2 linked regions of the Arabidopsis thaliana genome follow. The protein of the gene in region 1 interacts with the protein of each later gene in a biochemical or structural test. Each region holds a gene or a part of one and is shown in the gene's direction. Other genes may lie near its edges. The genes, in order: WRKY15 and CAM5.

What was found.
Region 2: the proteins of WRKY15 (region 1) and CAM5 form a complex in vitro, tested with the Arabidopsis thaliana proteins (one study listed by BioGRID).

The regions. Positions count from the first base shown.
Region 1 is NC_003071.7:9,922,810-9,927,096, forward strand, and holds WRKY15 (WRKY DNA-binding protein 15), read left to right. Parts: upstream 1-2,076; 5' UTR 2,077-2,188; coding exon 2,189-2,841; intron 2,842-2,942; coding exon 2,943-3,068; intron 3,069-3,170; coding exon 3,171-3,345; 3' UTR 3,346-3,563; downstream 3,564-4,287. Other genes in the region: AT2G23321 (uncharacterized protein), read left to right, coding at 3,569-3,709. UniProt on the Arabidopsis thaliana protein: Transcription factor. Interacts specifically with the W box (5'-(T)TGAC[CT]-3'), a frequently occurring elicitor-responsive cis-acting element.
Region 2 is NC_003071.7:11,529,741-11,534,874, forward strand, and holds CAM5 (calmodulin 5), read left to right. Parts: upstream 1-2,226; 5' UTR 2,227-2,328; coding exon 2,329-2,404; intron 2,405-2,946; coding exon 2,947-3,316; coding exon of another isoform or gene 3,317-3,320; exon of another isoform or gene 3,321-3,544; intron 3,545-4,336; coding exon 4,337-4,436; 3' UTR 4,437-4,618; downstream 4,619-5,134. Other genes in the region: PAG1 (20S proteasome alpha subunit G1), read right to left, coding at 231-304, 451-534, 844-883, 1,015-1,424. UniProt on the Arabidopsis thaliana protein: Calmodulin mediates the control of a large number of enzymes, ion channels and other proteins by Ca(2+). Among the enzymes to be stimulated by the calmodulin-Ca(2+) complex are a number of protein kinases and phosphatases.

The DNA.
Region 1 (4,287 bases):
TTTCCACAACTCGAAGATACCAAAGAGTTGGAGTCCCATCGTAGTTGCCACGAGCAAACTTTAGCAGAAGCCCGTCCACAAAACCTCTTAATAAAGCGCCTACAGCTTCTCCGCAAACTAACGCAAAAACGCAAAGACAACAGAGGACTAAAACACAAATCCGACGGTTACAGGGATAACCAAAGAAACTACCTTCAGTCACCATTCCTATCAAAACAATAGGAACCATCTCCCACGGATAAATGATGCCTCGAAGACCAACGCGCCGCCTCTATTCTTCCCTTAAGACTCCACTCCGACATGACGCATAACATCACTGTTGTCTAAGTACAAAACAACAACAACAAAAGACACCACAAGCTCCAACTTCGAGCAAAAACGATGAAGAATCGAGGAGGCTTTACGAAGAGCAGAAAAAACAAAACTAAGGCGATGCACCACCTGATTTCTAGATCGGAGAAGAATCCCGTCGCTAGGAGGTCCAACGAACCCAAACGTCTCATCAAGAGCCACAACCACCGCAGAAAGGAGAAACCCACCACGCACCACCAACTAGAGACGATGGGCAATCGAAATCTGAAACAAAACGATGGAGCACGAGAGGAGGAGAAACATCAAAGACAACAAAGAGGGAGGAGGAGGAGCCCTCCCCGTTCGCCGGCAAGGAGTGCCGCAAACGGAGAGGCGGAGGAGGCAGATCGCCGACATTATGATTTAAACTTAATTTGTAACAAGAAATTACTCTAAAATGATATCGGCATAGATATTGTATTAGACTTCATTTTTAACAAATATGGTTGTACAACAACCAACCTAAACCATGATTAGTGAAGAAGAAGCAATAAAAGTAGAGTAAATAAAGCCCAAAGAATTAATGAACAAAAATAACAAAGAGGATGTTGACGAAAAGTCAACTCCACTAAGCTGGCGACGACAAAAACTTCTGCGATTTAAGTTAAATTTGTTGGGTCCTACTTCGAAACCAGATCATACGGCTGACGACGAAAGTTTGACTCGATCCTCTCTCTTCTTTTTCGTCCGTTATGACTCTTATCATCACACCTATCTTGATTTGTCTCTCCATAAAAATAAAAAATAAAACATTTTCTTTTTCATTCATCTTAACAACATGTATTTTATCAAGTTTAATTACAATAGTGTCGACGAAAAGAACAAGAAAAATGCCGACAAAAAAAAAAATACTAGAACAAGAAAAATTAGAATAATGTCGAAAAGCGATTAAGTTAGTGGTTTAGCCGTTTGTTCATCTTCTAGCCTAATAGTTTGGACATCTCTTTCTTTAGTGGAGTAAAAAATGAGTCTAATGTACTAATTAAACCAGAATAGAGATAATTTCATCCTAATACAAATTACTAGATTATATACGAAGTAGTAATACTTCATTTGTTCTAAAAACTTTTTTGAAAAAAATAAAGTTTTTTCGATGAAATGTATAATTGGTTAATCAGAGTAAAAATATGTACAAAAGTGTTTAACTGTGTCTAAACGGATGACTAGCAGTTTAATAAGGAGTTTTGGACAGCTTTAATCACTATAGTTGTAAGAAAACAAGATGTGAGTTTGTAAGTTCTCTCACAAAGTTTTTTTCCAAAGCTCTTTCAAAAACATTGAATTGTAGGCATTACAAATGTTTTGGTGCTTAAATGAATTGTATCAAAAATTGTTGGTGTTACAAATTGTTACAACAACTCATCTAATAAAGACTTGATTCTTCTATCTCGACAAAAGATTAGAGTTTGCCAAAGCTCATGGGATAGTGGTGTATAGTAAAATAAAATAAAATGTATTGAGTTCTCTTGGTTTTTAAGTAAAGAACATGTATGCAAATATGCTCGTAAACGTTTTAAAAATAGTGATGATCAAGACTTATCACTACCGTTGCAACAAACACGTGAAGGTTGAATCCTCTAATTTTGTACAAACTTTGACTTTTCGAATCTAACAAAAAAAGAAAAAGTTGACTCTTAACAACAAAAATTGAATAGTAAAAAAGACTATTTATGAACATAGGAAAAGTCTAAACCGTGACACATTAGTCAGTCACCTACCATACAAATTACATCACTTTAAATACCAAATTTTTTATTCATTTTTGTTCTCTTATTTACTTTAGTCCTCTCGAATCCCATAAAGTCCACAACTCTCTCCTTGTAGAGAGAGAGATTTTATGGCGGTGGAGCTCATGACTCGGAATTACATCTCCGGCGTCGGAGCTGATAGCTTCGCCGTTCAAGAAGCAGCTGCTTCAGGACTCAAAAGTATCGAAAATTTCATCGGTTTAATGTCTCGTGATAGCTTTAACTCTGATCAGCCATCTTCTTCTTCCGCCTCCGCCTCCGCCTCCGCCGCCGCAGATCTTGAATCAGCTCGTAACACAACGGCGGACGCGGCTGTTTCAAAGTTTAAAAGAGTCATATCTCTCTTAGATCGAACTCGAACCGGACACGCCCGGTTTAGACGTGCTCCGGTTCATGTTATTTCTCCGGTTCTTTTACAAGAAGAACCAAAAACGACGCCGTTTCAGTCTCCTCTTCCTCCTCCGCCGCAAATGATCCGAAAAGGTTCGTTTTCTTCATCGATGAAAACGATTGATTTCTCATCTCTCTCCTCTGTAACAACGGAATCAGACAACCAGAAGAAGATTCATCATCATCAACGTCCCTCTGAAACGGCGCCGTTTGCGTCTCAAACTCAAAGCCTCTCCACGACGGTCTCGTCTTTCTCAAAATCAACAAAGAGAAAATGTAACTCTGAGAATCTTCTCACCGGAAAATGCGCTTCCGCTTCTTCCTCCGGTCGTTGTCATTGCTCGAAGAAAAGGTAAATTTTTATTAGATTTGGTATTTAGATTCGACCCAACTATAAAAGTTCATAGATTTGGTATCTAAAAATTGTTTCTTTTGTTTGCTCTGTTTTTTCAGAAAGATAAAACAGAGGAGAATAATTAGGGTTCCGGCGATAAGTGCAAAAATGTCCGATGTACCACCGGACGATTATTCATGGAGGAAATACGGACAAAAACCAATTAAAGGATCTCCACATCCAAGGTAAACTATAAAAAGTACAATTTTCAATTACAGTATCTTAATAAAAATCGAAACTTTATGGTGAAATTGATTGTGCTCTGTTTCTTGATATTGTGAAAACAGAGGATATTATAAGTGTAGTAGCGTAAGAGGTTGTCCAGCACGTAAACATGTTGAGAGAGCAGCTGATGATTCGTCCATGTTGATTGTTACTTATGAAGGAGATCATAATCATTCTCTCTCCGCCGCTGATCTCGCCGGAGCCGCCGTTGCTGATCTTATTTTGGAATCGTCTTGAAAAGAACAAATCTTTATTTAAGGCTTTTATAATATAAATTTAGATCCTTACTTAGTGAAGTACTCAAACTATGAATGAAATCAATGTAATCAAAATCAAAAAGCTTTTGCTAAATTTCGATTTGTTAGTTTTTTGGATTGTTAAATTATAAATTGTGATATATTCATCATGTTTACTTGTTACTTGCAATTTGAAGGGTTTATTTTTCATTTTTAGTTATTTGATGTCATTTAATAAAGAAGAGAAAAGTTTGGGGGTGGAGTTGAAAAGTAAGGTAAAAGAGATGGGACATGTGAAAATGGTCAAAGGATTAGAAAGAGATTTGGGGACCAAAGTTGTCGTGTTTGACCATTGTTGTATTTGACCATAAGTGGTCTTCTTTTTCAACTTTTTTTTTCTTTCTTAATTATAATTTCGGAAAAGTTTACGTAGTCATTAAACATCCTACTAGATACCAAAAAGACATAAACAACACAATAACAAAAATAACTTGGGTTGACTTACTATAACAATTTCCTAAAAATATCATCTCCTCTTTCACTTTAGTATAACTTATTACAAGACTACAAGCTAAGAAATTCTTTTAGGAAATATTGAATAAATTAAGAAAAAAAAAGTATTTGTTGTTGATGAAATGTTGATAATCTTTTGAAAATCTTGACTTAGAGCACCGTATAGTTTATTCTAGGTTACGCGTACAATTTCTTCAAATCCTAGGAGAAATCTTGATGCCGTGTATTAGATTTTCCATCGATAATGATTTTTTTATTGAAAAAAAAGAAAATAACAAAGTGGCAGAAGAGAAGTTGTCGTGTTCATATGTTCGAACATGTGCATAGGTTTGTAGTCTTGTGAAGGACGAAACAAATTGGATTTGGACCATTGAGACACTTACGTGTCTTTTTGTTCCACTTTAGTCTTTCCATTAGGTCATTATTTCTA
Region 2 (5,134 bases), 1.6 Mb from region 1:
TGGTTACACAGTCGGAAAAAGTTATGCAAAGCCATGTAGGAAGAAAGGAGAACATACACATTGACATCTTATACCCATATATTTAGATTTTTAATCTAACAAAATGCAGATAAAAAATATTTTGAACGTTTAACTAAGAGAAACATCCCCTTGAGAAAAGCTTTAGGAGTTGAACAGTTCTTTCATAATAATAAATCTTAGATATAAGCTACTGATGTTTTCATTGATACCTCTCATAGCTTCGTGCTTCAGACTTAGCACGCGCAACAATTTGCCTCCCATCAGCTGCAAGCCCAGCAACAGCCTGACATGACAGAAGTAGAAATACCCATAATCATGAAACAAAACAATATACTACGAGACTAGACACAATAGTAGTTACAAAAAACTTGAAAGATACATATCCTCAGCAGAAACTAATTTCCTATAGTTTAGGAGAAAAAAACATACCATGCCAGCATGACGATGAACAGAATGGATTCTCCTGTTGGAACCTGGTAGCATCATCTTTGATGCAATAAGTTTCTCAACTCCCTAAAAACCACCAAATGATAAACACTTAGCAAGACCATTCCTTTATCAAAAATCTGCGTAAAATCTTACAAAACCCAAAACTAACAACAGATTCACAACATATCGAACAGGAAATGAAACTAAGGGACTGTAAAATGTGTCATCTTGGGTCAAAATTTACACGGTATATATTACATCAAATCTACAATTCTGATAACAAAAATGTGAATACTTCATTCCAAGGTTAAATCACAGCACGAGAGACTAAACCCACTGAAGAAAGTGACAAAGTAGTATAAAAATCAATAGAGGAAGGAGGAAGAATCAAACCATAACAATCCCATCTTTGCACTTGATTCCAACAACAGTCCTGCGAAGAAAAAAAAAGGGAAAGACTTTTAACAAACCCTAATTCGTGTCGATAACCAAAATCTCAAAGTTTTCAGAAGCTAAATCCGATCTACTAAAGGGCGAAGATCGAAGAAGATAAAGCCAACTAACCCACTGTTGTCGACAGCTTTAGCGGCGTACTCGATCTGGAAAACACGGCCATCGGGAGAGAAAGTGGTGACGGAGAGATCGTACCCAGTTCCAATGCTACTCATCTTCCTTGATTTTTTTTTTCTCTGACTCTTTTCTGATTTCTTCTTCGTCGAGTGATTTAAGCTGAGATCGAAGAAAGGGGTTTTCTTTGTTCTCAAGCCAGAGACAAGCCAAATCTTTGGAGCTCCGTCTGACTCCGGGTTGGATATTAAAACGATTCGGGTTGTTTTGTCGGGTGGGTCGATTCGGTTATTAACGGGCTTTATTAATATTATGATTTGGCCCATTCTTTGGTAATCTTTTAACGGTATCGTGAATATTTTTAAGTGATTTTCCTCTTTTGTATAATTTTGAATAATCAACCACATGAGGAAGAAAGAAATATTTCTCTTACTCAACAAAATATATGATCATACAACACTTCTTTATGAACTCACTAGAGGTAAGACTATAATATGCTCTAGCATTGGGACACACAAACTTTGGGATGCTCAACATTACATGTTTTTAAAACCAAGACAGTAAATTACCTATAATTGTGATGGATACAATAAGTTTGTTTTTTACTACATCTCTAGCCAAACTGAGAGACATAGTTGTGGCGATCAAAAAAGTATGACAGTTTTGCGAAAACTGGATCTTGTTTAATATCAAATCTTTAAGTGAAGGTCATGATGCTTAACTACCCATTAGGTGACCCTTCCAACAACAAAGTAGTGATTTTTGTCCTAACTCCTAGATGATTATTAATTACAAAAACAGTAAATAAAAAGTACTACTATTTCTAAATTTTCTTATAATGCTAAAACTTTTTCTTTGGTTAACTTAATTAAAAAGTAGTTTAAAATCCATGGTAAACACAAAGCTAAACCTTTTTTACCGTTTTATATCACTAGTAATCCCATTCTACCAACTCGTTGAATACTTAGTATTGGTACGCATGGTAAGATCAGTAACTTATATGAACTAAACCATTCAAAGCATGTAAATGGTTGTCGGCAAAACAACAATACTATTTCTTTTCACAAGGGAATATATACATCACCTCCCTCTTAAGTAAAGCTAGTCGAATTGAAAACACAATAAGGCCCAGTGGAGAACAAAACAAAAGAAGAATAAAAAAGAGAATCAGATTCGAAATTATTGTTATTGGGCCTAATGGGCCTTTTCTTTTTCCTTCTTTATAATTCCACACAACAATCCTCTCATTACACACACCAACGTTGATTCTTCTTCTTCTTCTTCTTCTCTCTTTCTCATCTAAACCAAAAAATGGCAGATCAGCTCACCGATGATCAGATCTCTGAGTTCAAGGAAGCTTTTAGCCTTTTCGACAAAGACGGAGATGGTTCTTCTCTCTCAGATCTTTCCTCTTTTGTATAATTTTCATTCATAATAGACTCACTTGCGTTTTTTTTGGTGTTTTGAGTATCACTTAGTCTTGGCTTTAGGAATTTGATGCTCTTCGTTGTCCATAAAATCTCTGGATATTCACATTAACATTAAACGCGAGATTTGATGATATCTTTATCGTTCGTTGATTATAAATTATAATCGCAATCGGATCTATCTCGATAATAATCTCTAACTTAATCGTGTTTTAGTCTTCCAGATTTTACTAATTGTGATTAGAATTGACACAAATCTTAGAATTCAATAATCGAAGTAGATTACATTGACATTTGTAGATTTTTTGTTTAATTGATTCAGTTATTTGAGTAGGTTACAATGAAATTTGAAGATTTTGTGTTCATTTGATACAGTTGTTAGAGTAACTAAAATGAAATTTGAAGATTTTGTGTGTTATTAGAGTAAATTACAATGAAAATTTGAAGATTTGGTGTTAAAATCTGTTACTGATTTGAGAGAAATGTGTGGTTTTGTGTTTAGGTTGCATCACAACGAAAGAGCTAGGAACAGTGATGAGATCATTAGGTCAAAATCCAACAGAAGCAGAGTTACAAGATATGATAAACGAAGTAGATGCTGATGGTAACGGAACCATAGACTTCCCTGAGTTTCTGAACCTAATGGCTAGGAAGATGAAGGACACTGACTCTGAAGAAGAGCTCAAAGAAGCTTTCAGGGTTTTCGATAAGGACCAGAACGGTTTCATCTCGGCAGCTGAGTTAAGACATGTAATGACAAATCTTGGTGAGAAGTTAACTGATGAAGAAGTTGATGAGATGATCAAAGAAGCTGATGTTGATGGAGATGGTCAGATCAATTATGAAGAGTTTGTCAAAGTTATGATGGCAAAGTGAGGAAACTATTCTCATATCTTTTCTCTCTTTTTCTTTCTTTCTTTTTTTGAATTGAACAACTCTGATTATTGCTTTATTCTATGTTTGACTGTTCATTATTATGCATTCGTCCCAAATTTCATGTTATGAACTATTTTGTGACTTTGGGTTAAATTATTTGTTTGGAAGTTTTTAGTTTATTTTATATTATGTGAAGTACCATTGTAATGGTCGTTGAAAAAGCTATCTCTTGGTATTAGTACTTTTTTATTTTATTGTATTTTATAGTTTGCAATGTTTGTTAAAAAAAAAAAGGGTTATTTGTGTGATTAAAATTTGTAGGAAAAATGTCTGAAAACATTATATCGGTAGTTTTAAAAGCTTAGAATTTTTTATTTATTTTTAAATTGTTGGTCAATTTGGAAATTCCCCTATTTTTTAGAGGAATGTTGGCAATAATCCATATAATTTGAGTCAAATTAAAATATGTTTTTCTTATTTTACGGTTCATATAAGAAAATAAGTAAACTGTTAGAAAAAAGTATTATCATTTGTAACGATTAAAACAAGAGATAAAATTTAGGAAATACGAAAAAGGGTTAAAGAAAAACATAACTTCCATTTCATTTTTTCTTTCAAAAGTTTTCAAGCTTCAGTTCTCTTTTTCCCCACTTCAACTTTCAGCTTTGTAAATAACATTCGTGTTTTTCTTGATTCAATATATTCTACATTTTAACAAAAACATATAAAAAGTGGTGTATGCATACAGTAGTTATTCGTGAGGTAGAACGTAATTGTTTAAATTAAAAGGCAGATATGTTTTGGGGAATAAAATCAAAAATGGATGGTAAGTAGCAAAAGCTAGATAGATGAAATGAGAATCTCCAAACCTTTAATTATGACTGAACTTTTTTGTTGGTAACCAGTATTTTTTATTTTTACTTTTTTTTGTTACAAGGCTTAGTTTCTTCTTTTTCTTTTAAATATTATCGAAAATCTTGATACCTAATTATTTTAAAATGTGTGTAATTTATTAGGAGAAGAGGGAAGAGAGTTATGGCAGCAAAGCGTAGTAGCAATTCTGCTGAATACAAAGAAAAGAATGGTCGCCGGAAAAGTCACTGCCGTATTCTCTGAGCTCCGACCATTTGCTTCTTAATTCCTTTTCTTTATATGTTTGTGTGCAATAAGAGATTTGTACCTCTCACACCCATTAAACGGATTTTAAATGTCATATCTTGTTTGAATATGTTAAATATTTACTATACTGTTATATAAAAAGTTTTAAAGTACTATCAATATAGTAAGTTCATTTAGGCATTTCCTATCTACCACAATGTTTAATTTTCGTCTACAACATACGCACACTTATCAAACTTGAATCCAAGTATATAGCGACAACACTAAATCCGAGTTATGATACGACGGTGGCACTAGTACAGAAACACTATCACAATGTTTTTAAGATATTAGCAAGAGAAAACTCAGAAAAGATACACGACCAATATTAGGAGACTTTAACTAATACTCTGGCGATCTAACTGTTATAATTTATCAGTTGATTTAGGCGTTAGGCATTTGCTATCTATCAACAATGTGGGCGGGCATATGGTCTAATTCTTGTGAGATGATAATACAATTAAAACAAAGAAAATACTTTTTTAGGAACTAAACCTAAACTTAAAAGTCTTTCTAATCAGTTGCTATTTAAGTATTTTCATAATAAATCAAGAAATGCAAATTGTACATGAATTCGAAAAGCCTCTCGTTAAGAAAACTTATGATTAAGAATATAATATCCAAATACTAGTTTATAACACCAAATGCATTGAAAC